Linked DNA regions of Lepisosteus oculatus. The protein of the gene in region 4 purifies or fractionates together with the protein of the main gene of each other region. This does not show direct contact. Links are inferred from orthologs where the notes say so. Each region holds a gene or a part of one and is shown on either strand. Other genes may lie near its edges.

Region 1 (7,818 bases), on a different chromosome or scaffold from region 4:
TTAGTATTGTAACCACAAGAAACAGACATGCAGGTACAGATTGTTTATACTTAACCCAGTCTCATCACTATTATCAATGAATGCTTTATAGAACTTATGTAAAGCTTCAGCAGCATGTTGTAAATTTCTGATTAATGTTGTATGTATTGAACTTCTTACCTGGATTGAATCTTTTTTCCCCACAAATAAGTTGTTTTATGTCCCCTGAAATCACTTTTTCCTAAACACTTAGCTACTAGATTTATTTATTTAGGTTCTCGAATGAGTGTTTTTTTTTTCAAATTAAGTTTGAAGGTTACTTAAATCTCCTGCTTTATTGTAAAGTGTTCCAAGTCTTTAGAAAAATATGTTTTAACCAAGAGAAAACAGTAGCTCTCTGCAAGTTAGATCTCATTATGTAACTTTTTTCTACTTTAATGTCTGATGTATTAAGGGCTTCTACCTCTCAAGTTCTGTTTTCCAAGCTCTTATCCATTTTATCTTTGTACTTCAGGGCCTGGACTGTGGCCCAGAGAGCTCAAAGAAGTTTGCAGAAGCCGTGGGGAGAGCCAAGCAGATCGTGTGGAACGGACCTGTAGGAGTGTTCGAGTGGGACAAATTTGCCAGTGGAACCAAGAACCTCATGGATAAAGTGGTAGAGGCCACTCAGAAGGGCTGCATCACCATTATCGGTAAGTAAAGGCCATCTTCAGCCTTTCTTTCCCAGATATATTTTCCATATTGTTTTCTAAAGAAAACTGCTTTCAAAACTGTGGTGGCTTCTCACAATTCCCAGAAAACCTGGAAAATCACATTTTATTTCCTGGCTAGTAAGTGATGAACAATGATAACAAATTGTTTATTAACTGGATACAGTAACCCCCCTCCAATTCAGTTTCTCTATAAAGCACAAAATAAATGTAACCAAAAAGTGCTGTATGAAGTATATGCTATAACATCGGTTAATCCTTGAAATATATTCCACTAGGCTGCATGCCTGTGTCAAAATCCTGCATTTTTCTCAGGAATCCTGTGGTATTCCTGGGCATCTTTGTGCTGCTGCCAGCTTCCTGGTCCATACTCTGTTTCTCCTATGCTTTACAGTGTTTCGCTGTGCACTTTCCTTTGTTTCAATTTGTAGTATATTGTTCCTGCGTTGTGTCCGCAAGTTATCAGCCTGTGGTGATGCTGAAAGCATAAAAGTAGGAAAGTGCTAATCTTGGCTGAGAAAATAAAGATTCTGGATTGGCTACAAGCTTGCACATAGGCACCTTCACTTGGTCGTGAGTTGGGGTTAATGAATCTACCATGTTAAAAGAAGAGGATTGAGGAGGTTTTACAGGTCCAGGCTGTATAGATTCAAGAAAAAAATAAATGCAAAATGTAGAAGCTCTAGCATTCTGTTATTTGAAAGTATTTACATCTTATCGGGAAGTTTCCAGTATCAATTGTTTGCTTATTTATTTGCAAACAAGATCTATATTAAATTGGCAAATGTTTGGAATTTCAGTGAATCTAAGTGGGTATGGATTCCACATGTGGTGAAAAATAGCTCTTTAATTAACTGAAGATATTGGAATAATCAACATAAATACCTAAATATAGACTGTTGAGGGTTATGTGGTTCAATTAACCACCCCCTAACATTCCTGACTTCAAAAGGAGATTTAGCTTTTGAAACAGGATTTGGACATTTGGCACTACCAGAGACAACTGGAAACGTCCATTTTGCCTCAAAAGTGAATCTAAGTAAAATGTTTTGTAATTGCAAACCAATTCAACCACTAGATGGGGCTAAGGGGTACCTATAGCTTAGAATTTAACCTCCATAGGAAATATTGCTAAATACTGAATAGTTCATCTAGTGTTTTGGCAGGTATGTGACCAGTTAATTCACATCTAAAATCTGACCTCTTTTGTGTTTAAATGGATGTCTCAGAGGCGTGAAGTCGAAAAGACTCCTAAAAGGTGTTTTTTCCGTCTTTTAAACTTGATTTTAGTGATCAATGGTATTTTAAGAATTTACAGAACTAAAAACATTAAAACTGTCCACAGGAGTGGTGGCACATTGACCTTAAATGTTTTAAAGCTGCCTGAATTGTGCTGGGATTTGATTGGACCTTTTGTGAATTGTCATGCTGGTGTGGGGGCTATAATGGACAGCTCACGTTGCTGTGTTCCTATCCAAGGTGGGGGTGATACGGCCACCTGCTGTGCAAAGTGGGACACCGAGGACAAGGTCAGCCACGTCAGCACTGGGGGCGGAGCCAGCTTAGAGCTGCTAGAAGGTATGAAAACCTGAGGCGCTGAGAACTCTGGGAGCTGAATTCTGAGCAATAGTCCAATGACTGCATAACATCAGATAGTATAGGCTCCTCCAGTATCCAGTTCACAATGATCAGTATTCCACTTTCACCTGGAGGAAACCCATGCAGACACAGGGAGAACATAAAAACTTCATACAGATAGCACCCCAGGAATTGAACCCAGGGGGGAAGTGGCAGTGATGACCACTGTGCCACCATGCTACCTTATGATTTTATTTTTAGCAAAAACAAGTTTCTTTATACTTTTGACATTGGACCAATAAAACAGGAATATCCTATTTTATAAATGGACATCTCATACAGCTTGCAGAATATTTCCAAAAGTACTTTGTCATTGTCTTGAAAAAAGTCCTTATTTCACAGAAGTACATTATTTCTTCGCTTTATTTTTTCAACAAGAGATGTGTCTTTGAGGGATAAGATAACTGATGTTCTGTACAATAATTTTAAATTGTTTTTCTCTTTTTTTTTTAATTATAATAGGTAAAGTCCTGCCTGGTGTGGATGCTCTGAGCAATGTCTAAAGGCCCAGGGGAGAGGAAGATCCTAGCCATGAGTTTCAGTGCACAGCCCTAGGGAACCTCTTACCATGAAACGCTTATCTAGTACTGCAGTAGCACAAATGATGAATTCCTCCCTCTGTACTGCGCAAGGGTTACAGAAAAGCTTTTAACTTAACTTGAAAGACACCTGAAAATGTGCTAAGACCCACTCTAGAGCACTTAACTGAGGAGGGGGGAGCTTTGCTGTTCACTCTCAAGCTGCTTTTTAAAAATAAAAAGTCTGAAAGCAACGCAGAACCCCTCTTTGCACTTTGCCTCATTTCTCAAAAGGGAGATGTTCACCTGAGGCAGCTGCTGGTTTGGAATTGGTCATTTGTGATCATGTTTATGTGTATATGTGTGCCTCACTTGTTAGCGTCTTGGAGAAGAGAAAAAATCCAAACGTTTGTGTAACTCTAGAATTTATATTTTGTATCTTTTTGCCTCTATCAACGGTTCAGTCTGTACTAAACGCCACCCCATGAGCATCTGTCTTGTTCTTTGGCCACAGCTTGTAGTTCTTTGGTTGATAAGATGTCTGGACAAAGTATGCAGATGAAATAAAAAGGATCAGTGTAAAAAGTCACTTGTTTTCTTTCATCATTGTTGGTGGAGATAATCCTAGAATTCACTATTTCTCCTTGCCTGCTTCCAAATGTGATTGATTGGGATTATGTTGTTTTTAATGAAAACTTTAACCTAAAAAAAATAAAAAGACCAGAAAACTAGGAATTGGATCCACTGGTAAGTAAAGATGCCTGCTGAGAAGTTCCAACCCTACAGTACAGAAGCCACCATTTCAAGTCTAGATGGTGGAAGCCATGATTCCACAGCCAATAGCACACAATTGGCCATGTGCAGCAAATTCTGTGGTTTTGTTGAGTTGGCCTGGGTAACGCATCACTCGCTTGGGACCTGCACATTTCTGTTTGTGAACCAGACAATTCCTTAAATGTTTATCTGAAGCATTCTGTAAGGTACTGCGAGACTTTGTAATGACTCAAATGAAAGTTTAGGAAAGAATGTAGTGTCCTAGGTCTACTGTTTGGCGGCAGTGGTGACCCATGTTTACAAATGAAAAATTGATGACATTCTCATGACAGTAGTGTTGCATAGTAGTGTTTTAAGGTGCATAAATTAGCACCTTAAAAATTGTGTTCTGTTGAAGCATGTTTGAAAGAAATGGTTAGAAGACCAAATGGGTTTGATTTTTTTTTTCTTCCAGTTAATCTATGTTCTGTAATCTTATTTTTCTTTGAAAAGAACGCACTGGTATTGAAGAACACAAACTAATACGTTTCATGGATACTCCACAATATTAAACTGTGTAAACTGACTGCTATAACTAGTCACTATGCGAAAAATGCTATCGTTCAGGAGTTTTGGAAGGGACAGATAAACGTGGACATCGTTGGCTGGTACATCACATGACAATGGGTATATCTTGGAACTTAGCATCTTCGTCTGGGTCATGCATACCTTATTTTATCAAGAGTGTGTATTGAATTAGCTATGTAATTAAAATTTATCAAGTTATGTCTTGAACAATGATGACATATGGGATTTCTTGGAATAACAATCCGAATGGAATAATTTATCCAAACTTGATGTTATGCTTCAAAGTGTTTAAAAATAATGTGACCTACGTTCAGATAGTATGATCAGGAAAGCTCTGTAAACCACACATTGACTACAATACCAACAATGCTCCTGACCAGCTTTGCTCTGACTCCGCCCTTTTACCTGCCCAGGTGAACGTTTCTGTGGGAAATTACATTGTCTTTTTAGAGCTGTAAAGCTAAATCTGGACATGATCTAGATGAACTAGAAGCGAGGTGAGTTTATGCAAATTATTCCATGTTCGTCGTTTGTGTCGTCTAATATACAAAAGAGTATTAGCTGGACGGATTTGCTTCTTGAAAAACAAGCGTACCTGGGTCACGGCCCGGCTCTTCGGACTCACGGACGTTGCAATCTGCAATGGAGTTTGCCGGGTACGCCTGGCAGTACTGTACGTGGCTTATGTACAAAGCCAACAAAATGGTCTCAGGTGTTTTCCTGTTTTAAACGCCCTATTTTAAAATACAGCCTTCTTTCAAAAAGCAGCATCGGGGTTTAAACACAAGAATGAATGTGATTCTTATACGTCTACTTCAATATAAAGGATTTTCTGTAAAGGCAAATGTATTACAAAACCTATGTACGCCGTGTATATCATATTGTAGTTTTCCCGTGAAATTTAAAAGTGCTTTTTTATATTGCAACATATTTTTGGAACTTACACAAAATGCTTTCTTTGTACCACTTCCTGGATAAAGTAAATGTGGCTTATTTTTTATATATTTGGATCTCTCCAACATATGGGGCATTCCAAATTTGAAATATTTTACTGGTAATGGGTAATATTCAGTCTATTAACAATTTACAACTGTTTAGGAATGCATCAACATATAGAATCGCCCGTTTCTAAACCAATTCAACGGTTAACTTGGATAAAAATCCAAGTCAAGACAATAACCTTTTAATTTAAATGGATGATTGATACAGTCATAGTATCGTTGGATCGACCATTCAAAAGCTCATGGTTATGTTGTAAACACTTGATGGAAAGAGTCAGTGAAAAAAGATGATGATGATTATTATTTTATTATTATTCCTCAGGCCACAGAAGGGGATAGGGCTGGAGACAGTCAAAGAAAACACAATGAGTGTTGTGGAAGAATGGAGTCCAGAGAATGTGGCTAACTGGATCAATCATATTGGATTCCCTGAACATGCTCTGAGCTTTTTAGGTATGATGTGCACTTTTGCCCCAGGATTACCAGAGTCCAAAATGGATTGCTTCTCATCTACATTGTCAAGGAGTGTTCAACAGTTTTTCAATTAGTGTTTAATTCTTTTATTAAAATATAAGAAATATATATTAGTGTTTTAATAACATGAACATAAATTATTTCACTTAAAAACCATCAAGAAATTTTATCATCTCCATAATTATGTATAAATTTAAAGTAGACCCCATTTATTTGAATGTCCATACATTTTCTGTACATCCATGTTTCAACTACTTATTAGAATGTGTTCTGTTTTATTACGATTTTGCCCAATCCAATAACAAATATATTTTGTCTAACTTAAGGAAGCGGTAGTTACAGTTGTATGCAGCTCGTAATTTATTAAAGGTGAGAAATCAAACTAGACTTCAAGATTTCATCTGTAATGTCAACAGATACAGGGTCGAGAAAAACATAGTGAATCAGTGTATCAAATCTCAAAGAAAAATGGTATTTTCATAGTCTTACCCTGATGGCCTTCTTAAATAAAAAACACTCTTTCCGCAAGTATCCAGTAATGATTATAGTAACATATTTCTTGTCTCTTAAAACAAAATGATGTTTGAATTGAACAATGAGTAAAATTTGATATTGGGGAAAAGTTAGTGAACCCCTAGTTTAATTAGCTTAATTAAGGTAATAATTAGAATCAGGTGTTAAAATAATTAGGTAGACCTTGGGGGCTGAGTTTGTAAGGCCCCAACCTATATAAAGATCAGAAATGGTGTGAGTTTGGCCTTCACCATGCATGTGTTTGAAATAAGTCATGCCACATGTCTAAGAATTTCTCAGAGAACCTCAGAAAAATAGCCATCGATGTTCTTCAGACCGGAAAGACTAACAAAACCAATTCTAAGTATTTGGGGCTCCACCAATTCACTCTCAGACAGTATACAAATGAAGAAAGTTAAAAACCACAGTCACTCTACCCAGGAGATGTTGTGCTACCAGTGTCTCTCCAAGAATAAACTGGAGAATCATCGAGGAAGAACCCTAGCATAACATCCAAAGAACTGCATGCCACTCTTGCCTTCACTAATGTGACTATTCATAACTATCAGACAACTTTGGTTTGAATGGTATTCATGGAAGGATAGCAAGGAGAAAAATGTTCTCCAAAAGTAACATTGCTGCCTGTTTAAAGTTTGCCAAAGAGCACATAGATTATCCACAAAGCTGCTGGATAAATGTTCTCTTGACAGGCACGGTAGATAGAACTCTTTGGCCTCAATTAGGAACATTATGTTTGGCATAAATCAAACACTGCTTTTAAAAACAGAACCTCATCCCACCTGTCAACCATGTTGGTGGGAGCTTGATGGTTTTGGGTTGCTTTGCTGCCTCAGGATCTGGATGACCAACACAACCATGAATTCTGCATTGTATCAGAAGAGTCTAGAACAGAACATCAGGCCATCAATCTGTGATCTGAAGTTGAGCCAAATGTAAGTCTTGCAGCAAGACGGTGATCCACAATTCCTCACTACAAATGTGACAGACTGATCAGCTGTTACAGGAAATGTTGAGCTCCTGTCATTGCTGCTCAAGGCTGTGCTACCAGTTCACTGAATATAAAGGTTCACATTCTTTGTCACACATGGCTATTGAATGTTGCATTGTTTGAAGATAAATGTTAATAGGATATCATGTTTTGTGTCATTTGTTTCATCAGATTATGTTCATAATTAGGACTTAGATCAAGGTGTAGTAACATCTAAGGTTTCAATATGTGAAAGAATCTGAAGGGATTCTTGGCACTGGAGCGTAGATGATGAAAACCTATTATTGAGTTAATGTTAGCCAGATATTTTTTAATTTCATATTTTAGGGTTCCTTGTCACACAGCTCAACATCCCAAACAAAGGTCTGAGACCTAAGGTACATTCATAAACAACCCAGAATTACATGTTTGGAAGCATGTCACCTCGGATAAAAAGTGTAGCAAATAATATCTTACACCATAGGCTGTCTACACTGTCGTAATTCACATTCTGTGGATTTTCAAGTCTAAGTGAAAGTCTGAAAAGGCACACTACAGCCAGAAGAATCTGGGAACTCATTCTTGAGGCATCTGTAACGGCAACCCCGTTTTCTCATTCCCAGTCAATGTGATCAAGAGTTTCATGCCGGGTTTGT
Region 2 (7,485 bases), on a different chromosome or scaffold from region 4:
TGACCAGAGAGGACAAGAAAATAAAAAAATGCTTTTTCAAAGGCAATTTTTATGCAGGCAACATAACCTGCTCATCAACATGACACACTTGTAAATCTAAAGATACAGGTTATTTCTACAAGGGTAAGTCCAGGTATCAGTATTCATAGTTCTTTAAGCCCTACTGGTATTATTCACTTAGCACCAAATAAAGACACAAATAACATAGATTAATTGGTGTTCTTCCAAATGATTAGTTCAGTTAAGAAATTAAGGGGGAGGATAAAAAAACAGAGGACTCTGTGATCCTTATCTAATATATATAGTACATGTGTATGTTATTTATCTGTGATGAACCGCTGAGAATCATACTGAGAATCATATCAGTTTAGGCTTGGAGGAACTGTACAGTATGATTCTCCAGGTCATGTCTTCTGTGGTGAGTGTCTGACTTCCCCTTTGCAAACATTTTCCATTAGACAAGTTGCAAGATTGAAACCGGCAGATAAGGTGCACTCATGATACATGAATCTCACGACCAGTGATGTCTTTCAAATTAGTATTTATTTCTCAAAATAAGGGCACACTATTTCTTCCGTAGTTTTGATTTGACAGGCAAATTATATGTGACTCAACATCCTAGCAAAAGGTCTAAATATGCACTTTATACAAGATGTTGGTTTGAAACAAATTGTCCTATTTCAAAATAGTAAGACTTTAAAGCTAGACAGTACCCTAGAAGGTGTGAATGTCTATAAGTGTTTTTCACTGTGCACATTTTGAAAGGAAGATGCTAGATTACTATACACCTACTGTATTAGAGTTTAATATCATGCTTTGTATATCCAAATGTACTCATGCAATTGGATTAGTAGCTTCTTCAACCTATATGATGTACCAAATCAACTCAAAATATTGTGTGGGCTAGGATAAGATTCAGTCATCTGCACATACAGTATAAATCCTGACCGCCAACAATGAGTGAAGGAGAAGAGGCTGAGAGGAATGACACAGAAAAAAAAGGTATAGGATTTCCTATTTCTCAAGCTGTAGCTAATTGTTGTCTGCTTTTGACAGTATCATTAGTTGAATAAACTAATGTGATCTGTTGAGGGAAGAAAGTGATTAAGAGAAATCAGTATAAAGACTCCATTAATGGCACCCCTGCCACAGCAACAATCAAGAGACATACAATACTTAATTTTGCCTTTGGGAATATTTTGTACTGTCTTCACAAGCTGGCAAAACACAACATACTATTAACTTTGACATAATGGGGGAAAGATAAGGTAAAGGATCCACCTTGTCTTGCAATGCCACACTATAGCGTCCATGGCAGTGTGATTTGAATCTTTTACCTGCTTCAAGGAAGGAAATGTTTATCTGTGCTCATAAATATCAGCATTATTTTAAAGGAAGTGTTCTAAGATAATTTTCCAGGAAACAGACCTACCCTCCCTAACTGTACAGTTACACTGTTCATTAGTTTCCTTGCCATACTTTAGGGTAGAGAATAGCTTTAGAGATCAGATTATTTATTAAATCTGAGTGACAATGAAGGAAGATTTCAGTCTGTTTCCTAAGTTTGTGTGTATATCGTTCATTGTTCCTGTAAATGTGAAATGTAGTGTGTACATGCACGTCATATTTAATATTAAATTCAAGCATTTTACTTACTGAACTCTTACTCCTACATACACATTGTCACTTTTAAACAATCCATTAAAAATAAGTTTCTCATCTTTTTCTTTCCATTTATTAAGCACCGCTCAACATATGGATGTTGGAATTTGAAACGGGTTACATTACAAAGGGTGGCATTAGAATATGATAAGTTTGGAGACAGGGAGTGGACGAAGGGAGAGTATAACATACAAACAGGTGTGTATGTGGAAGAAGGAGAGTAATTATTGAACACTGGTGATCTATGGTAAATAGCTCCCAGTCACAGAGACATTTCTTTTTTATACATGAGAGTTGCCAGTACTAACAGTTCTGCCCTCATCTGTTTCTGTCATAACAGGAAGGTACACATTCACAGAAAAACACATAAACAAGACTATAAATTGAATAAACCACTCTCTTCACTATGGAATTATTATTTTTTCCTGGAACATAGAATTCCTAGTTTTGAAGGGTTGATATTTTTGTGAGTTATGCATTCTGACACATAACTACATAAAGTGTGGGCACCATCACTTATTTATAATTTTTTAAAAAACTTATTTAATGACGACATGGTTTCCAGCTTTAATAAAATACTGTAATTAGCTTCGTTCTAAATGCAAATTAACCAATTTAAGACACAAGCTGGTGATCTTTTCCCAGCTGCACATACAGTATAGTTTGTTAAAAGGATTTTTATCGGTTAAAAAATTCATATTGTGTTGTCAATGTTTTCAGGTATTTTGATTTCTTGATTTGAATTTCTATATTTAAGAATACTGACAGGCTGTCACAGTTTTGAAAAATCCTTCCGAATATTATAGGACAATGCTTCTGGTTTCAGCAGGGTAGATGTTAAAATTATTCACTCAAGTCTGACAGGCTGTACTTTTTTATGAAATGAAGACAAGTGAAGCAATTAAGATCAGAATGTTAATAGTATGGGTCTTCTGTATTTTTCTTGCTTACTGAACATAAGAAAAGGTTCAAACATTCAGCTTATTCAACCCCATTCAATAAAGGAGGTGGCAAAGTATTAAAGTAAAAATAATAGCGAACATTAGGTATTGTTGCTGCTAGTACTTTATCTTTGACACTAGTCACTAGAATATCTCACTAAAACACATTTATGCTTTTTATAGCTAAATGGCATGATAATTTAATTCTAGAAAAGAGCCTCCTTTACATACAGTTTTAACCTCATTTCACCTTACACTTCTCCAGTTTAAGTACTTTATAGCTCCAAATTCATCAAATGTTTCTGATATTCTTTGTATGAGCACACATTCCTGGAATACTGGATTTTTTCACCAAGTTCAAATTAATTTGATAAAGCACTATATGGTTTGTACCCGTTGGTTTCAAATCCATGAAAAGAAACTCACGTAAAGAAAACAGGAGATGAACAGGTCCCATGAGTTGAAATTAAGTGACAACAATTGAGAAGGAATATTCAAATGGTTTTGTATAAAAGCTCAATTGGTTTCTGTTTTGGTACATAGCAGTATAACTGACTCAAGCTCTACACTGAATGCACCTGATGTCTGCATCTGAGATCAAAGGCAAGGCTCTTACCAGGTAATATACACCGATGCTAAAGGTTGCAGTTCGGATATCACAGCAAAATCCCCGATAGGCAAAGGCCAGATCAACAGAATTTGGTTTGGACATCATTTTGGCTTCTCAAAATGATGCGACTTCTTTGGTGTTTGTCTAGAGAAGGAAAGTGAAGAAACAAATAGAACACAACGCCTCGAGCCAGGCTTCCTTCCTGTTCGTCACTCAGGAGTCACATGGTGGCCAGAGAGAAACCACCAGATATTTATGTGCCCGTTAAGAAGCATTGCACACTGTTGGGAACACAAAGAGCTAACATTCCCCTCAGAATGTCCAAGAATGTTGAGTGTTCAAGCTCAGGTTTTATGACCCCAACCCAGTGCTGAAGGACTGTAGTCCTGTAGATTTTCATACCAGAAAACACTCCTCACAATCTAATTTACCTAATAAATAGGTTAATTACAGCAGTTGAACATAATTTGATATGATACTTCAGGTGCGCCTTATTAAGAGGCTTCTAAAACTCCAAGAAAGAACCCCTGCTTTAAAAAAGAGCAGTTTAAGGCTGCAGTTTATTTGAATTACTAATAATTTGGTTGAAACTTTAGTAATTATCAGAGAATGGCTTGGGACAGATATTTATTAGATGCAGAAAGGGCATCTTTGAGTGAGTACTGGAGTCTTCTACTTTTCATTTTGGGTCTCAGTTCTTTAACTGAATCAACTAATTAATGAAGATTAATGTACCTTTGAGCCCCAAACTCTCCAAAGACTGAGGGACCATTGCTTGTCTGTGAATTAAAAATGGCCTTTTAATCCATCTTGTTTGCTTTTTTTTTTTGCTATTAATGTATTAATCAATTTCTTCAATGGATCCCAGGAAATCCGCTTCACATCATGGTTTCGTAGGTTAATGATACTGTATAAGAACAGTTACAAATGAGAGGAGGCAATTTGACCCATGTAGCCTGTTTGGCAGTTAGTAGTTAATTGATCCAATAATCTTATTTAGCCATGTCTTGAAAGAGGCCAGAGTATCGACATCAACAACATGGCTAGGGAGATTGCTCCATACTCCTACAACCCTTTGCCCTCCTTTCTCAGCTTTAAATGCACTTCCACATGCTGTAGTTTTCATTAGTGCCCTGTGGTTCATTCAGAAGAAAAGTGTGAACTGCTGCCTTCAAAGAACAAAGTGCTGTGCAGATATCTTGTCTGGACAGTCCTCTTTAACAAAATATGGTACCAAGTTTCCATAATTAAAACAACTTCAGTTATTTCAAATAATACTTAATAAGTGTTATTCTACCTGTTTCACTTTCAAACCTGAAAAGAAAGCCAAGAAAAGGTTTGAGTTTAGTAGTTAGGGCAGCTTTTTAAATTCATATATACTGTATAGTATAGCACATACAGTCGCTGCAACAGTTTGAACTTCTGTTTTTTTTTTCCTTCACTGACAGCAAATATACGGTCCATTTATTTTCTAACCTCTTTATCTAATTCAATGAAGCAGGGGATCTGGAGCCTATCCCAAAAAGCAGACACAGACAGTCACAGGGCCAGTTTTCCCAGAAGCTGATTAATATACCAGTATGTCTTTGGACTATGGGGGGAAACCCATGCAAACATGAGGAAAACATACAGACTCCAGACAGATAACACCCTGGCAATTGAATAGGGCCCCAACACTTTGAAGAACTAATGCAAACCACCACGCCATCACGCCGCCATTAAACATACAGTACAATATTTGTAATTTAGAGTGGATATTTGAGAGGTCTGAAGAGCAGACAGACCAAACTTTTCTAACAGCTAAAAATGTACTGAGTCTCTCCTACATTTTTAATGTGCCTTCTTACCTTACACATTGTTGTAAATCAAGTGTCTCTTTTAAATTAGAAGAAACTAAATGCTGTTGGACAACAGAAACTGCTTGCATAGTGTTTACACTGTGTTTAGAATTTCAACTGTACCATCACATCTAAAGTTTACTGTTATGGTATCAGTTGCATGATCTGCCCAGACTCCATGAAATTTCTGTTAAACAAACTTCTTTAGCTGTATCACTAGAGCTTGTGTGAGAGACAATCACCCTTTCCAGACAATTTAAATAGGCAAGACAAAGCTACATCAAGATATGTAAACTAAAAAATTGTTTTACAGCACCTACAGACTAAAACCGTTCAGACAAGGTGCTGTCAGTTTGCTACAAGCCATCTTTCATCTGGTTATAAAAATACAACATACTCTGGTTGTTTGAGAAAATGTTGATTCACCACAACTGCTGTTTTACAGCTTCATCTGTTTAAGACCACATGAAGCTGCATTTTTTCATTTTTTTGTTTTTTTACACAGCATCGTGAAATGCTGTTTAAAGTAATTTTATCATGCACCTGCACAGCCTTGACGTTCTCTTCAGGTCTGAGGTTTACTGTCCTAGACATGCACAGCAGCACCTGGATTTAAGCCAGCAAATTCACAAACTATGACATCTGTGGCATAAACTGAATATTATGCATTTTCATGAATGGTAAAAATTCAAACTTATATACTGAACGCATTATGTTCTAGTTCATTTCATTGACAAAAAACAATTTTATGAACGGCTGAAAATGTAATACATTCATAAAGGGCAGATAGTTTAGTTTGAAGGAATCTCTCATACAAAATAAGTTGCAGTATTTATGGAATCAATTTGGTATATTTGTAAGTAACTAATTTATTCAAGATCTATCAATAGCTTATAAATCATTAATAAATGAATCTGTATAATACATGTGCCACTCCAAAAGCATTGCTGATACAAGCATTTATTCACACATTAGTTGAGCCTTGCAAGTACAGGTTTTGCTATATGAGAGAATTTGATATTCTGTAGGTGGCACTTCTAACAGTAAATAAAGGGTCCAGTCAGTTAAATATTTACAATACACATCACCACATCTAAAAACTAAATATAGGTAATATCTAGTCAAGAAAAACCTCCATAAATTTGGTGAATGTATCATTTGACTAGTATTATAAAATTAAATGCAGGCTGGTCAGAGGGAATATCAATATAGCAAGTAAGGGTTGAATTTGATATACTGTATCTGCATGTAGTCAGGGTGAACACATCTTCTGTTGTGCAGAGGAACACTTTTGTATGTTAATGAGATGTCACTTCCTTTTGAATTATTTGTGACAGTGAGAACACACACATTTGAATGCTCTGTGGGGGATTTGTTTAAAAATAGTTTAAAACTAGTTCAAAGCACTCTGATGATTTAAAAAAAAACAACAGAAATAACTGAAACCTTAATCAAGTATGGACACGCACTGTCCTGAACAATAGCTGCTGTTGTGAAGAGGGAGTCAAAACACACAAAAAAATACAAAAATAGTGTTTTAAGATCTTTGGTCAGCTCAGGTATCATCTTAACAAGCCACTGTGCCACAAACAAACACGTGGTCTTGGATTTCTGATGCCAGGGGCTGTGCTGTGCGGTTTTCTCAGTTGTGGAAAATTACTGTCTGAGTTTCTTCACGTAACACACTTCCCAAATAAACAAGAGCACAGGGACTAGAGAACCAAGGCTTGCAATACATAGCCTGGAAGGAACAAAAATTAGGAATATTTTAGGAAGGAACAGAAATAGGGATTATTATAGAAATAAATCTGTTTCCTTGATTAGCAAACGGACGTGTTTCATAGCACAAACTGTTCAAGCTGCCCTCCTTCTGCAGAGCTGTGCTAACATAACCATCTAGCTGTCCAGTACAATCCTATGGGTCTGCACTGACTGACCTGAAAGGCTACAACTGCACTACGCTTTAAGGAGGAAATGATCTTTAACATTGCCAGACAGAAGAAAAGTAATCTATCAGTCGAGTTCAAATCACAAAGCTCTAATATAGCCTAGCTTTTCGGGGAACTGTTAATAAAATGTTAATTAATAAAATGTTCTTTCTTATTAAATCACAGCCATCGTATGAGAGGGGGCTATTGAGAGCACCGTGATCATTTACTTTTTAAAAGCCTAAGTACCCGAGATCATGGATTTATGTTTGAAGTATAAATATACTGTTATAGCAGTTCAGGTGGGTAGCTGCATCAGCATGTGTAGTCTGCAAAGGAACAAGTAATAGGTTTATTCCATGCTGAAAAGAGAAGAGAGAAAACAACGTTTCGGCTGTGAAGCCTTCTTCAGGTGTGGTTGTTACATATGCTAAAGACTACTTCTCACTAATTTACAAAAGACTTTCCCTGATCTGCTCTTTTCACTAGGCTCAGACAGCTAAGGC
Region 3 (8,294 bases), on a different chromosome or scaffold from region 4:
CAAATCTCTGGTCTGCTTCTCTCATACAAAATAGTGCTGTCTCTCTAGAAATAGGGAATTAACTGTCCATAGTGAACAAGTACAATATTCCAATTTGATCACAAGTGATGGCAAGTGGGAACTGAAGTAGTTTGGACTGGTACAGCGTGGATTCTGCTACTTGATTCTTGTGAGTGTACCTTTCTTAAGCATAACTTATATGCTCTTCATGCAGCTACATCTAACTTGAAAGTTGTAAATGAAATACTTGTACTGGGATCCTTTTCTTTCCATTAGGTGGTGCTACTCACCACCATATTTCCCAAGACATGCCTTTTCTGCTGTTTAATTAAAGGCTTATATTGTGTGTCTATCTCTTATGATCATATACACACTTGTCGATTACATTCACAACCACTTCTTAAAGGTTTCTTTACATTACTGAAAGGTAAGAAATCCATATTTTTATGTTTGTTTGTTTTCCCTACAGTTTTTTCATTGTCCTAGGTAAATCACATCTCCTGATTTAAAAACAATCATTAGTATACACATGAATATACATAAAGTACATGTGAGAAATGAATCTGTAATTTTATGGGTGGTCCAAAGGCTAAAGATCCAAAGTAGCTTTCAGGTTGGCAGTTGGAAAATAATTGCCATGGGTAAAGATAGTATAGTGACCCAAACAGCAGGATACTTGCAGACTATCTGGCCACCTATTAGCTTAAGGGGAACCACAACAGGTTCTTGACTCCCAGAACCAACAGTGCACCCACAGACCTGACAAGACAGTTACCCTATCTAATGTCCCTTTATTATATTCTATTAAACTAGCAGTTATAGTATTGAGCATCACTGCTGACATGACAATTTTTATTCTTACGTCATAAGAATGCACAAGGGGAACACACCATAACACACAAACCCTTGTGAACCACAGTTACCCAAAGCCAAATGTCCCAAATGAGAAGTCCAGCATCACTGTTCTCCGAAACAGCCCCAGTGACCTCCTCCATTTTGTTGCGGAGAGGAAACTTTGTGCAGTCTTTCAATGGTATTGGGAATCCTCTTTAGTCCAGGAACAAGTAATAGGTTTATTCCATGCTGAAGAGAGAAGAACAAAAACACAACATTTCGGCTGTGGAGCCTTCCTCGCGTGTGAGCCAAAATGTTGTGTTTCCTTTCTTCTCTTTTCAGCGTGGAATAAACCTATTGTTCCTTTGCAGCCTACGCATGCTGACGCAGATGCCCACCTGAACCTCTTTAATCCAGGGTGTCATGAACAAAGTGGTCCTTATGCCACCCCCACCCTAATTTCTCTAAGTCCATTATCGAGTAGGGAGAATGATAGTGATGCCTGAGGCTTCCTCTTCTGCTATCTGTAGTTCTTCTCTGTCAGTTCTCTGCTTGAGTCTTTCTGACAAGGGGTTATAAAACTCCCTTCCTGGACATCGCTCAGGGCTTACTGTGAGGTATGGGTGGGGTTCTTGTGATATCTAGGGTCAAGGCAGAGCCAACAGCTTGGGGCTAATTAACAAACTGACTGTATGCAGATAGCCAAATGTCATGGAGCTCTGTCTTTTGTTTTTTTCCTGCCCCCTTGGCTGTCAGAGTCTCCATGTAACCATGCACTCGCCTACACATTACAACACGCACTGTTCACTGCAATTAATCTATTATCCAATCACTTTTCCCCTTTTCACTGGACTTAAACCTTTCTACTGCACCTTTCCATGCTCACTATTGAGTTCTACTCGCTTGAGCTAAATCTTCCTTGCCGCTTGTTTATCTCACCTCTTCAGATTACGGATTTTGCCTTCCTAACGACTATGGACCTGCCTTACGGATCCAATCTTGGTTACTTGATACTACTCTTTGCATTATGGATCTTGGCCCTCCTACTGACCACGGACCTGCCTAATGATTTGGACTTCAGTTAAAGAACACTTTCTCTCTCTTGACCCCTTACACCAACCCCGCACAGGGTCCTAATTTTCCACCTACTGGTCCTTGACATCAGCCCCTGGTCCAGTCTGCAGTGGCTCAGTACCACAACATACTTCAACATGCTAACCCCTATTGTGCGGTGATTGAGTGGCATCTGAGAAAACTGTCCTTCAATCTTTGCTAACTAGCACCTGGCTTATTTTTTTGTGTTTGAACACTTTGATTAGAGTGAGGATACACTGGCCACTGTATGCCACCTAAAGTCAGTCTAGTTCCTGACATCTTTGGTTTTGTCATAATCATAAACGTTTATTTATAATTAACGTTTATATAACTGACAGCTTTTAATTCAAAATTTAATTTTTACTTGGATACAACAAACCACTAGATTTATTAAGACTAGCAAAACTAAATATGGTATGTTTGTTTTTTCTTTTAGATTTTTGAAAATATGTGCCAATTATATTGGTTCATGGGCTTAATAGGTACATTTACCCTAACAGTTTTTTTGCATATACATTTTACACAACTTAAAATGCTCCATTCAAGCAATTTGTTGGTATAAAGATTCATTTAAGTAAAGAGCTAAGCTGTAATGAGAAACTAGCAGGTGTGTGGATCCACAAGATCAGAATTGGTTCCCCAGAATTATATCCACATAGCACACTTGAGAAGCATTTTGGGACAGATAGTTACCTGCTCAGCTGTAAAACAGGATGTGACAGATGTTTCTCTTACTGGACAGAAGTGTTCTTCTGTAGCAGGGTGAAGCAGCTGACTTCAGCCAACAATTCATTCTTGCCCTATAATACACCATTCTCAAAACACTTTAGAAACATGCTGACTGTAAGCATTTTCCTGAACATTGTTCAAGCGTAGGAATCCCCAGTCCTGGAGAGCCACAGAATGTATGTTTAGGCCAGAAAGACCTAGTTTGCGGGAAATTGCCTTCATTGAGCGCAGCTGGTCAGCATACCAGTGGGCACAATGAGTAAAGGAGATGCTCTGAGTTTTAAGAGGAGCTAAGGTGTCAAGAATAGTCAAGAAAAATATTAAACATTTGTACTTTTTTTCACCTTAGAAATATCGCAAGACTACGCCCTATGCTATCATTAACTGTGGCTGAAAAGCTGATCAACATATTTGTATTCTCTCGAATTGACTACTGCAATGCTCTGCTCCCTGGGGTATCTAAATCTACTCTGAACAAGCTGCAGTATGTCCAAAATTCAGCAGCCAGAATCCTGACCAGATCTAGTGCAAGTGTTCACATTACTCCTATCCTGGAGTCCTTGCACTGGCTTCCGGTCAAATTCCGCGTAGACTTTAAAATCCTCATGCTCACCTACAAGGCTTTACATGGCTTGGCACCTCAATACCTGTCTGAACTTTTATCGCCCTACTCCCCACCTCGCAACCTCCGCTCTTCAAATTCTGCCCTCCTTACTGTCCCCCAAGCCCGTCTACATTGTATGGGCGACAGGGCCTTCTCCTGCTATGCCCCCAAGCTCTGGAACTCCTTGCCCAAGGATATTAGAGAGTCACCTTCTCTAAACTCCTTCAAATCCAGACTCAAAACCCTCCTTTTCAGAAAAGCCTTTACTTAACTGCTTCCATTCTTCACCCCTCTGCTCTTCTTAATACCATCTTCCACGGTCTCCTCTATTGTTATTGGTGTATTGTTGTAATTATAATTGTGTCCTGTCTTGTGAAATTTTCTTATTTATTGTTGTAGTCTTCTTATTTATTGTTATTGTCATCCTGTAAAGCGCTTTGAGAAGCCACCTTTAAAGGCGCTATATAAAATAAAGTTTATTATTATTATTATTATTATTATTATTATTATTATTACTTTGTCCTTTACAGAATCGGAATTCAAAAAGCAGGAAAATGAGGACAGAGCAGAATTTGCAAACATTCATTGGTCAACTGATCACCAGCTGCGAAAATACACAGAGCATGAGAGTGAAAAATGTGAAATAGAAAATTCTAAATCAAAAAGAATAGTTAAGTGGTTAGAATCCAAAAATAATTAATTTCAGATATGCACTCAAAAATGCATTATGTGTGTTGTCATTGTAGAATCTCTAAGGCTTCAATGAAAATGTAGAAGCATTTTCCTGGACATTGTTCAAGTGTGGCAAACCCTGGTCCTGGAGAGCCACAGTCCAGCAATTATTATACATCATCTTTCCATCATTTTCTAAAGACTCAGAAGATTTTAATATTGATTAATTCAACATGTTTATCGATTCCATTTATATCGGTTGGTTAACTCTTATGTGCACATTTCAAGAATTTAAGCAAGGATCGTCCATCAACAGTCATGGAGCGTGTTGCTGTATTAATTTCAAGTGCTCTCCACACTAACTAAACAATTCATCTGCTGAAGTGAAAACTATTATTTTAAGAGTTCAGAAATGAATTTGACCCATTACCCGGTACCCTTTTGCTGCTTTCAAATGCTATACTGTAGTGTTTTATTTATTATCTCAGGAGCACTACCCTGCAAAAGGTATTCCACACAACATCTTCAGAATTGAAGCCCTCATTGTCAAGCATGGGAGGTTTTATGTTTGGGATGATTTGAGGGACGCTAAAATACCATCATATTACCGGTAATTTTGAGTTTGCTTTAACCTAACTTTCGTAATTTTATTTTAGGGGTCCATTAACTCACCCAAAATATCAAGAATGTCACCTGTTCCAAATAGAAGTTTACTTTGAAACACTAGTAATAGGTGTGGCTTAGTTGTGTGTGTTAACTTTCGTTTTGAGTTTAAGGTGGTCCTTTCCCTGGGTAGGAAGTATAAATACAAGGTGTGGTCCAGTTCGGCTTCGTGAAAAAAATTATACCAGAACACTATTCATTGCTAATAATTTATGTTGTGAATGTAGAAAAATAAAATCTAAAAATCCCATTGTGTGGTGCTTAATGTCACGATGATCGTAATATCGCACATAACCCAATTAAGACGTTCCCCCTAAATACAATAGTTTTAGGGTAACACGCCTATTAAAATATTCCTATGTGTGCCCCTAAGATAAAGTATTTACTCGAAATGGCTGTACAGATTATATGTATCTATTCTTAATATTTCTAAAACGTGGTAAATACAAAAAATGTCTCCGATACACGTCAGTGTTAGTCAAGAGAACATTTCCTCATATCTAAGTTACAATATACATTACTAGACTACTAGATTTAAGCTAGTGGTATACTGGATGTGGTTGTTAGACATTTAATTTTACGCATAAATTAAAATGTATACTGTCGAAACTGAGGATGTGATTTTTCTTGGGTCCCCAGATATTACCATAACGCTTGGGGAACCTTTTCTGGAATTTCCATTGAAAGGCCGTTATCAGCGGAATTCCACCTTAATAAAAATAGTATTTCGCTTTCTTTTCTATTTTGTTCACATCTAAATGGTTACCATCGAACAATGTGGTATGTTCATTGTGATTTACATAGTGTGTAGTCATCGATTTGCATTCTACGATTCACGCATTCTGGTCAAGAGACAACATGTAATTACTTTTAAGGTAATCCGAAGTGGAAATCCTGTTTGCTGGGCGGGGTTCTTCGTTACTCCTCCAGTTTCGCAAGTAATAGAGGAATTAGGAGGTCGCAGTATTTAAGCTTTTTTAATGTTATTTGTACTTTGAATTAAACTAATAAGAAGCACTTTTTAAATCGATTTTTTCTAGACTTTAACCATAATAACAGCGCAATGTAACCATCTTGAAATACGCTAATACGACAGAGTGCATTTAGGTTTTCTTTTGTGATTCTTCTGTGTTTGTGTACACCCCGTAGATTTATGGTACTTAATTCCAATTAGAACTATCGTATCATCGTCCAAGTTTAATGTCACGTAGATTAGCACTATGTGTTGCATAAGTAAACACAACTGTTTGTAAAAAAAACAACGTTCTCTCAGTCCCAGCGTTATTCTTTGTTTCTTTCTGCGTGGGCAATTTATTTCATTTTCGATTTCAGTAAAAAATGTACTAGGAATTTTAGTGTCATGGAGACAAAGTGACTCACATCCCTTTTCTTGTGTTTTCTACCACGTATGTCATTCACAAATATAAAATGGAAATACCAAGTAAAGTCCTTATTTATATAACCATCAATATTTCATTGTCGGTAAGCGCCACGACCACCGAGTTTACAATTGAAGGTAAAATTATGCAGAATATTATGTGACCTTGTTTCGCATTGCTTTGTAAAGATCAGACCAATGGAATGAAAAACGACTCAGTACTTTTTAAACTCTGAGAATACAATCCATGCCTAGCTACAGATATCGACTTATTTACTATTTTTTTTGTTTTTGATATTCACTGTCGTGTTTTAAATGTTTTTTTAAGTTACATTGAAGTCGGAGAATGACATTTAATAAGGTGGTTTGTCGAGTCGCAAAAGTATTTGGCAGCTGTTATCTTACAACACGTGAACTTTAAGCTTGCAATTTAATGTGTCGTGGTCTGACGTAAATCTTCATTTCCATATTCTGTATTTTTGTTTCAGGTATATACAAGGTACACTATGTGATATTGAAGGACAGTGTGGACTCCTGTTTTATTGACAAAATTCATAGAGTCATGAAGGTATGAAACAATAAATACGTACATTTAATACATGCGCTGAGAGGGAACAGTAGGAGCCCATGAAGAGGAGAACTACATGTCTACAAGTGCATGTCACACAGTGAACACATGTACTAGGTGAACTATATCACTGAACTGCATTTTTATTTAATAGCTGTTTACTTCTGTGGGTAGAATTACAGGGTCTGAAGGATGTGGACCACAGTATGAGTTTGAATGTGATCAAATGTTTTCTCAAGCAAAAATGTAGTGTTTCCGTTTTGTTTCTTCTTTTGAGTCTTATTTTAAGTATATTGTTAATAGACGCTTAAAGCACAGGGATTTCAGTTCTTAACAGGCATTGATGTTCTCTTTGAATCATCAGTAGATTGAATGGTGAATTTGGTCAAAATAACATTTCTGCACAGAATTTAATATGTTCATGATTTGAAGAACTGGATTGTCTCTTACAGCCCAGAGGTTGAGAACAGTGTGCTAGGTCAAAGTGTGTTGTTACTTCTTCAGCCTTATGTATATAAAATATATACGTCAATTTGAATTAATTCAGAACAAGTATTAATTAAATTGTAAAACAAACTGATTTTTATTCTGAATGAAACAAACTAAGGAGTTTAAATTCAGATTGCAGTGAGTATTACAGTATATAGGCTGTTCCAATCATTTACTAAATAATTTATTTTGGTTCACATTGCCTTCCAAAATGGAATGTTGTTCTGTGGCATCTGCGAGTCTCACGTTCAAGAATGAATCTCAAGAATGCAGGCTTTTACAAGGACTAAATATATCTGGTATAGAAAAATATACTTACAGTGGCATATTTATTAAAAATAAATAAGATGCATATGGTGACAGTGCAGGGGTGTTTCCTCATTTTTTGTTTAAAAAATCCATTATGTAATAACACTGCTTCAGCTATTCTTTTTTCTCTTTCCCTGAAGGTTTTTTAATTTTGACTTTTGATTCTTAAATCAGGGCAGAAAAATTGTTTTGGGGGTTGAAAAGAAAACAAAAGTAACTAGTCTCCTGAAAAACTAGTTAGTGGTTGATACAATAATAATTGGAATAATAATTAGATTACTGGGTCTCTATTATTTGGTTGGGGGGAGTTTTATATCTTTTCTTAATAAAACCTACTTTTTCTTAACATTTAACATCCCAAAGTCAATATTTTATTTTTTTCATTTTTTGGCAGATGGTATTAAAATGGAAACAGCTGCAGAGATTCGAGGTGGACAATAGGACAGTCGAATAGTCTGTATTTTGATTTCTAGCATGAGAGCACACAATTGCAATGGCTGAGGGACATTTATCCCTAACAATTAATCAGATTGCAGATGAGCTCAACTCTGAAGAATGCAAAACATTATTTTATTTGTGCGGCAACCTGGACAAGTGCAGTTCAAATGAAGATGTCAAGGACATGTTAAAAGCTCTGTTAAAAAGTGGGCAAGTGGACCATCAGTTTTTGTTGTTGGAACTTACATACAGAATCAAGCGTTTTGACATTTTGAAAAGGGTGCTAATGACAAATAGAAAGGAAGTGGAAAGCATTCTGGGAAGGAAATGCTTCATTTCTGATTACAGGTAACTTTAATTTTATTTATTTGAGTGATGCATTTTGTTCCCTCTTAATCTTTTCAGTTTATTCACCTGTTTAATGTAATAAACCCCAAGTCCAGATGTTTCATGAACATTCTGTTCTCCATACTTAAAAGGAAAATGAAAGAATGCCCATGTCTGTACATTAGTGT
Region 4 (8,285 bases):
TCAATTTTCCTAGAAACCAATTAATTTACCATTAATTGGATTTCACTGGGGAAACCAGAGCACCCAGTGAAATCCCATACAAACACAGAGAGAACATACAGATTTCTGGCAGGTAGCACCCCAGGTCTGGTATTAAATCCAGCTCTCTAGTGCTATGATGCAACAGTGGTCACCCCCCATGTGTCACCCCTTATAGCCGATGAAGTGGGGTTAAAATATCTTTGGGAAGTATATAAAATAACTTAGTGGAAGGTACATAAGAGAACTCAGTGACAACCCAAATTAAAATATAGATTGACATCTTATATCACAATATAAAACTATGTGGCCACTGTGCTTATCACTGACCCACAGCAAAAAAAAAAATAATAATAATAAAGAGAACACTTTTGTTTACTGTACTGTATTTATGGTGCAATGATAAAAAGAAAAGCTCAGAGATTGAGATCATTTCTTCACAGGGACAAAGGTGCAGTCCTATCTTTCCACAGAGGAGATGGAATCACATGCAGCTCCTCACGAGTGACTCTACTGGTTTTTGTTCTGCTAGAAGGGATTTGCGTATCTTTTTATCACAGGTGAGGAGGGCCCAAATACCAGGGAAAAGCAGGAATGATGTATTTTGCTCAGGACCAGAAAATAAGAAACAATATTGTTTTCATAGATAAATGTTTCTACTGTAGAAAGATGAAGAGAAAGCTGAACTGCTCCTGTCCAGAGATTTGTGCTGTACTGTGCTGAAAGTTTCTAACATCCCAAAAATACAGTATACTTGAAACTACTTCTATACAAGGCACACATCAAGTTGGACAAATAAGCCTGTTCTGTACACACACACACACACATTATTTCAGTGCAAAACAGCAAAGTAAAAAGAAAATCAACATTTGTTCTTTTCTACATTTCAGCTGGAATGAGCCTTTACCTGCTCCTTTGCAGCTCGCAAACTGACAGCTCCTAACTTGAGCATCTTCAATATAAAACTACTTGACAAAGCTGGGCAATAGGAACCACGGGAATATTTTATTTTGGTGTGTGTGCAAGAAAGGGATTATTTTTAAAGAAATTATGTGGAAGGTCTGTGATTGTGACAGACATTTTGTCTTTTTGCCCAAAAGGTAAACTGCATGTACTCTGCCCGCCCTCCTTTCTATACAGAATCTGCGTTAACAGTTTTTACAAAAAAAAACACTAAAAAAGTAACAGAACATAAAAAAGAACTGTTCCTTAACGTTTTCCAGAATCATTGATCATAGCATCTATCTTTTTAGAGTCAATTCTGATGTTCACATTGTAAAGCTTGTTTCAGATGACTTTTAAATAAGGTTGGTCTTGGAAAAAGAACTTAATCATGGTTTGTGGCCCTTAGGTCACATTCAGTGAGGCAAACACGTTTCTAAATAAATAACATTATATGTTACAAATACTATAAAGTGTCCACAACCTTCCTCACTGACTGAACTTCCAGCTAGTGGGTAGTCACTTTACTTTTCCCCTCTCGCGTGCTCCATTGTCTATTGCAGTAGCCTGTCATCCACAAGCTTTCCACTGTTTCTCATTTGATACAATACTCCAGCGGAAAAAAAAAACGTTTCTGAAGACGACTCCATTTAGCTGCTTTAGAAGACATTATGTGTGAACATGGGTTTCAGAGACTGTGCTTTGCAGAAGCCCCTTGATGCATTCTGTATGGCTGGTGTGTGTGTGTACTGCATTCTTCCCTGCAGTAGGTCTTGACGCGTTTCAAGACTAGCACGCAGCTCATCCAGCAAGAGAACCACACAGATCGAAGGCAACGGGACACAGGGCAAAAAGAAAATAAAAACAAAATTCTGACAATTACAGAGCAAAAAAGATCTACCTGTACATCTGTACAGTATGCCAATCATACAAATACACATCCAAATACTTACAAAGGTCTTTATGAACCCATCGGGTACACGAAGCATAGAACTGCATGTTCTCGGCACCCTTCAGAAATTCACAAAACGCAATTGTGTTTGCAAACTAACTTCAAACAGTATTTCCTTTACTGGTCTGACTCACTCTGCGCTTCCTGATCAGAGCACTGACAACACAAACAACCCTAAAAAGTACACGACCATGAACTCATGGCATTATGCAAACGAGGGCTTGACCTGTCTGGGGAGAACTGCAACTTCTAACCATCGCGTTTCATTTTATTCAAAAATCGTGTACGTTTACAAATCATCTTTAAAGTACAGTCTGCGTAAAAATTATATCTAAAATATCAACATATTATATATATATAACCATAAGGGTGTAAGAGAACCTTATTAGTATGCATTGATATGTGTCGTGCACTCCATTTCCTTACATATCAATGCACTGAACCGAAACCTCATTCATAGATATGATAACACTTCTTATCGTGTTGAGCTGTACATTGGTACCGAATATAATGGTCATTTTGTTGAGAAATAACTCAGCAATGTCGACAATTCGAAGAATACTGTATAAAAACACATCAAAAGATGTAAGAGACAGACTTACAGACCAGTAACTCTTACTAAAATAAGATCTCACCCATATACAATAGTTAATGTGAAACACCCTGCCCGTTCAACCAGAAGGACTTCGTACTTGGTTCAGCGGAGCGGTCTTATTTATGCAAATAAATCACCTTCACGGTTTCTTTAATAATTTAAGAATCCCCTTTTTACACATCAAGGCCTGACCTTCGCAAGAACTGTCATTTCTTGTCGGACAACAGTGCCTCTCTTGACGCTGTAAACAACCCCACTGAACACAGCAGAAACTCGACGGTCGGGTGTTTACCTGCTTGGGATAACAGTCTAACGTCAAAAGTTAGGTCGGGAAGAGTGACAACTACCTGGTGAGTATCACTTATTCAACTGGCAATGAATTTGTGATCTTTTTATTGAATTAAACCATACGTATTATACAAACATATTCGAACGATCGGTTTAAGCCGAGTCTCAGACCCAGTTCGGCACCTGGGAGTTACGAAGTAGCCAAAACGCATCGACAGCGACTGAGCAGACATACACTATATTTTAAACAGTAGCGCTTTAGATGGACTACTAAGGCATTTTATACAAATTTAAATCTTACCCGTATCTAGGGGGAAACTAGCGTTGCTGTACTATATCTCTGTGTATCCCTGAAGAGCTGTATTCCTCTTTATTTTGGGATCCACTCCAGTTTCACTCAAAGGAAGAAACTTCCACCATCTTCGTAACCTTCTCACGTGACAAACGAAGGTGGGCCGCCCATGACGCACGACGATGACGCGCACGTTTACGTGACGCATACCGGAACCCCACCTAACGATTGCTCCTTCGGTCTTCGATTGGATAATGTAAACAGACCCCGGACCTCTGATTGGTCCATCTGTTGGTCGTCACGGCGGCTCGGAAAAAGATTGCGTTCAGGTCGCTTCCTGTACCAGCACATTTTTAGTGTAAGTACAGTACATATTAAGCAAGTCCAAATTCCTCTTCGGTCTTACGCCATATCCATATCTTCAAAGCTAGACATTATTATTTACATATCAGATAAATAAAATAAACTGAACTTATCAAACTGATTGACTATGTTCATAATATTTAGCTACTTGTTAGGGTGGTAGCAGAGGAAAGTGGTCCTCAAAAATGTTGGCAGAACATCACACATGAAGCTAACTGCCTGCCTAACATGAAACAGTGCACTGATTAATAATAATAATAATAGCTTACACGTATATAGCACTTTTCTGGACACTCCACTCAAAGCACTTTACAGGTAATGGGGACTCCACCACCACCCACTCCACCCCTCCACCACCACCAACGTGCAGCATGTGACGGCAGCCATAGTGTGCCAGAATGCTCACCACACATCAGCTATCAGTGGGATTGGAGAGCAGAGTAATGAAGTAGATGGGGATTATTAGGAGGCCATGATTGGTAAGGGCCAATGGGAAATTTGGCCAGGACGCCAGGGCTATACCCCTACTCTTTTCGAGAAACACACTGGGGTTTTTAATGACCACAGAGAGTCAGGACCTCAGTTTTACATCTCATCTGAAGGACGGTGCCTATTTACAGTATAGTGTCCCCATCACTATACTGGGGCATTAGGACCCACATGGACCACAGGGTGAGCGCCCCCTGCTGGCCCCACTAACACCTCTTCCAGCAGCAACCTTAGTTTTTCCCAGGAGGTCTCCTATCCAGGTACTGACCAGGCTTACACCTGCTTAGCTTCAGTGGGTTGCCAGTTGTGAGTTGCAGGGTGATATGGCTGCTGGCTAGATTAGATAACAGATTGGACAACAGATTGGACAAGAGCGTAAGAAGAGCTACAAAAAAAGAGGAAGCTATTCTGGTCAACCTGCTGCTCACAAAAATCTTCTAGGTTTACAATATCTAGAGAGGAAACAACCTCCTTATATTTTTCCCCTAACTGCATGATTATATTAGAAATAAATTTTTAGTCAGTTTCTTTCTCCATCTCATACTCTAGTGCATGAGACTAGTGGGGGGGTCTTCTTCCAAGTCCACATAAGCTTTCATTTTCTAAACTGTACATTAAGTTTAAGAAGAAAAAAGGTGTCTGAGACCAGCAGTCCTCTGGTTCTGTGCCCCTTGGAGAGAAGAATTTGAAGCCTGTGAGTGGTCTGAATCTCAGAGGAGACCTGTGAAAACCAAGACTCCACTACAGACAGAGGAACCCACAAGTCAAGGATAATGAAATACAGGTTCCAATCGAGGACCACTTGTTGTGGACAAGTGAACTGAAGAAGCCAGCTGGCTGTCATCCTGCTTTCAACCACCTTTATCCTTAAACCTTTCATTACCACTGAAAATTCAAAAGGCAGATCTGAGAGAGCACTCTGAGTTAGTACCATCAGTTACTGTTAGCAATTACAGGCAGCATGCAAATTGAGCTTGAAAAGTGTGGAGAAGGCCTGCATCGTCTTCCTTGGCCAGAACAAATCCCCAGATTTCAATCCCAGATTTCAGTCGCTCATCACAACTTCAGTCCCACACAACAGCTGCCCCAAAACCATCTCCACCAAAGCTGCTATACGTGATGGAGCTGAGCTGCGAGGACAGTGTCTGTGGAATGCCTACCAGGTCTTGCTCCACCTGTTTTTTCTGTTCCTAGAGGCACAACACAGCATGCAAGGGCAGTTCCTATTGTTCGAGCCAGTGAGAGCAAAATGATCAGCTAAACTAAGGAAAACTAGCTGGAAGGCAAGACTCCTCCTTGTCAGTACGGCTAACACTGCTTCCCTGGTCTTGCTGAGTTCCTGGCTCATTCATCGTGAGGACTCTAGTGATCTGATTATAGAATTGAATTTATTCAGGTGCTGGAGCTCCAACTGCACTCTTTGTGCTTTACATTGATGCTGAAGCTCACTTAGTTTGTCGTGTCTGTGCCTTTTGGCACACTCATGCTCAGGACACAGACTTTCCCTTCCACGTCTAGTTGAAGAGAAACCAACTGCTTCATTGTTTTCGCCTGATGTTTTCAACGCAACAATCAAGGATCCGACAGGAAGGGCACTTTAAAATCAGGATAATGGTTTCGCAAAAGGCAACGGTTTAAAATCGCGTAGTTACCAGTAGGTGGAGCTGTCGGTCTGGAAAAAGCTCGTATAATAAAAAACAAAGCGCTTCCCAATACTATACTTAATGCAACCCCTAAAAACAATGCTTTCCATCAATCATTTAAGCATAGCATTTCGAATAGTTTTATTTATTAGTCACTTCTTGGTATGTCTTTAAAACGACTCAGAATTAAATTCCTTTGACACAGGCTGCGTCATAGGAATTTGAAGTGGAAGAACAAGTTAATAATAACCCGAAACAGTAATCCGATTGTGCCTTTCAAAAATGCCAGAGGCTGTAGCCATCCTAAATGCGCAATGAAAGAGAAGCCTTCTGTGCATCGCTTGCTTTAAAGAAGCCCCTGGAAGGAGCCAGCCAATCACGTCAGTGGAGGGCGGGGTTACTTTTTGTAACGAAGGAAAGTTGCTTGGATGCGGAGCAGCATCTTAAAGCACAAACTCGGCATCTCAGTATTCCTTTCCTTAGGCAAGATTCTTCCCAGATGACAGGAGGAGATCCCTTCGAGCACTGAATAGCGAAACCAAACCGCACAAATTAGAAATTAATCGCCTGTGTCCTCGGACCTATTTGCGAACAGGGTTTAAAAACGATTTCTAGATACTGTACACACATCTTTCTTGCAAGGGTTTAAAAATGATGGCATGCACAGAGATAATCACGATGTGCCTCCAGTCTGCAAAGCAACAACACTTGTACTCCAAACACCAGCAGCAGCTACTGCAGAAGAATCCCGTCCAAGGACTTTCTATTTTCCAAGATGTAAGTAAAATACAGTATATTATAATTTTATTTAGTAATATATCGTCTTCATTTATTAAAGGAACACCGAGCACATTTTTCGGTGTTGTTCGCTGGAAACATCATAAGTGGTGATTTAGACTTGAAAATCGCATATAAAGCGCAGCATCTTCAGTAAGCTACAACGTTAGGTGAGATTTATATGGGTTTAATTTACATTACAGATTAAAAAAGGAATATTAAATTACCGCACAAAAGTAAAATAGCTACAGTCGCTGTGAAGATTACTAATAAAAAGCCACGAAATTTATTTCTGAACTGTAAACTATCAAAAAGGTTTTCTGTTGTATCAACCAAGAAATAAGCTAAAAAGCATATTTCCTCTTGAGAATTGTATAGAGCACGTCACTTTTAATCGTAAAACAGCCGTGTCCTACCGTATGCGCTGCTTCACCCTCAAACTGCGCCCTGTGACACCCCGTATCAGGTATGGGCGTTAATGTATGAACCCCACCACCAAGACTCGGTGTTTCTGTCTCGTTGTGTCTTTTTACTGCTTCATAAGCAAAATAAATTGTCTGAAATCGTCAAAATGTCCATTTCCACTAAACAGCTTCATAAAAAATCACTGTAGGTTAAAGGTTTTTTTTTTTTTACCGACGTGTATACTTCACGCATTACTCAGCTGTTGGCGGTAACTCGTTAGGCCTGCTGATGACTGGAAAAGTTATTTTTGATTAATGTGTCGGGGACTGAGTTGATAATTTTCTTCATCAGTCCTAATTTGTATGTTCTCTAGGTTTCGTTGTGTTCGCTATGTACAGTAGTGTAAGTTCGGGACAATCTTCAGTTCTGATGGTAGCAACGTGGAAGCGAATCAACTTGTCTCAGATCGAGGTGTTTGTTAGAAGGGGGTTTATCAAAGCTGTCAGATCGATTCTGTTGTTCTATACCTCGAACTACACGCCAGTTCCTTTAAACAGGTTTCGCTCTTTCCTGACACAAGACAAAGGCACCAGGGCTTCAATTGAACAGAACAACTTTTTGCAGTATCTCCATCAGCAGCAGGATGGGGAAGTTCCTGTAGTACAGTGCCAAGTCTTGTGGAATTATGCAGCTTCTGTGCTTGCAAGAGTGCCCTGCACTTCCTTGATGTGGTTCACTTCGGGGGTGTATGAGGCTATATTTTTGAATAATCTTTTTAGCAATGTTAATGAGAGATATGACGTTTCAATTGCTATGCGCGATAGCGTCTGTCTCTGGAGTTCATGCATTTGAAGATTTGCCCTTGTCCAATATTGCCTGTATTAGCTCGAGAACGCTTTTATTTACCAATCACAGTGTGTGTCGCTTATCAGTTGATTTTTATTTTTCATGGCTTTGAAAAACTATGGTGTTTAATTTTTAGTATTCCATTCGATTTCGATGATTAACTTATTTGCATTAAATGTTATGGGAGTGCGGAACATGGTATCCTGATATGATGTGGAAGCCGATACCCAGCCTTCTTTCGTGAAAAGAGACTATTGGATCAATTAGCTGCTTAAAAAGTAAACGAGCTACTGTTCATGATCCGACTGGCCTTTCCTCGTTCGTAATCTTACTCCTGATCTAGTTAAAATATTGTATTCAAATAGACCAAAATATTGTAAAGTGGGTTAAAAACTGCACCAGTACCATTTTATCGGCGCAACAACACATCAGGAGGAGTGAGAAGCACATCTGCTTCTGTGTGTTGTGCTGATGCTGGTGACGGTCGGCGTGGATCGCTGTGTTACTGTAATAGGGCGCTTAGGACGACTGTTTTCACGTACTTTTGTAACTTGTGTACAAATAAAATGTGAAGATAGCTTTGATTTTCTAAATTTATTTCACAATTTCAAGGATGATTATCGACTCTTAATATTAATACCAGTTTTCAATTAGTTACAGACGCCTTGTTCTGTC

Evidence for each region.
Region 1: the proteins of itcha (region 4) and amot purify together in Homo sapiens (affinity purification with western blotting; 3 studies listed by BioGRID). This does not show direct contact. The link is inferred for Lepisosteus oculatus from reciprocal best matches to the Homo sapiens genes ITCH and AMOT.
Region 2: the proteins of itcha (region 4) and lysosomal-associated transmembrane protein 5 purify together in Homo sapiens (affinity purification with western blotting; 3 studies listed by BioGRID and IntAct, with this or other methods). This does not show direct contact. The link is inferred for Lepisosteus oculatus from reciprocal best matches to the Homo sapiens genes ITCH and LAPTM5.
Region 3: the proteins of itcha (region 4) and CASP8 and FADD-like apoptosis regulator purify together in Homo sapiens (affinity purification with western blotting; 8 studies listed by BioGRID). This does not show direct contact. The link is inferred for Lepisosteus oculatus from reciprocal best matches to the Homo sapiens genes ITCH and CFLAR.

The regions. Positions count from the first base shown.
Region 1 is NC_090703.1:34,849,600-34,857,417, forward strand, and holds the start of amot (angiomotin), read left to right. Parts: upstream 1-4,591; 5' UTR 4,592-4,683; intron 4,684-5,509; 5' UTR 5,510-5,552; coding exon 5,553-5,640; intron 5,641-7,818. Other genes in the region: pgk1 (phosphoglycerate kinase 1), read left to right, coding at 494-671, 2,169-2,267, 2,790-2,830.
Region 2 is NC_090706.1:9,720,699-9,728,183, forward strand, and holds the start of lysosomal-associated transmembrane protein 5, read right to left. Parts: upstream 3,385-7,485; 5' UTR 3,319-3,384; coding exon 3,220-3,318; intron 1-3,219. UniProt on the Homo sapiens protein: May have a special functional role during embryogenesis and in adult hematopoietic cells.
Region 3 is NC_090707.1:26,008,058-26,016,351, forward strand, and holds the start of CASP8 and FADD-like apoptosis regulator, read left to right. Parts: upstream 1-5,281; 5' UTR 5,282-5,472; intron 5,473-5,506; exon of another isoform or gene 5,507-6,113; intron 6,114-6,463; 5' UTR 6,464-6,543; intron 6,544-6,550; exon of another isoform or gene 6,551-6,660; intron 6,661-7,735; 5' UTR 7,736-7,834; coding exon 7,835-8,127; intron 8,128-8,294. UniProt on the Homo sapiens protein: Apoptosis regulator protein which may function as a crucial link between cell survival and cell death pathways in mammalian cells. Acts as an inhibitor of TNFRSF6 mediated apoptosis.
Region 4 is NC_090711.1:15,290,481-15,298,765, forward strand, and holds the start of itcha (itchy E3 ubiquitin protein ligase a), read right to left. Parts: upstream 3,252-8,285; 5' UTR 3,097-3,251; intron 2,858-3,096; exon of another isoform or gene 2,746-2,857; intron 1-2,745. Other genes in the region: necab3 (N-terminal EF-hand calcium-binding protein 1), read left to right, coding at 6,234-6,359. UniProt on the Homo sapiens protein: Acts as an Acts as an E3 ubiquitin-protein ligase which accepts ubiquitin from an E2 ubiquitin-conjugating enzyme in the form of a thioester and then directly transfers the ubiquitin to targeted substrates.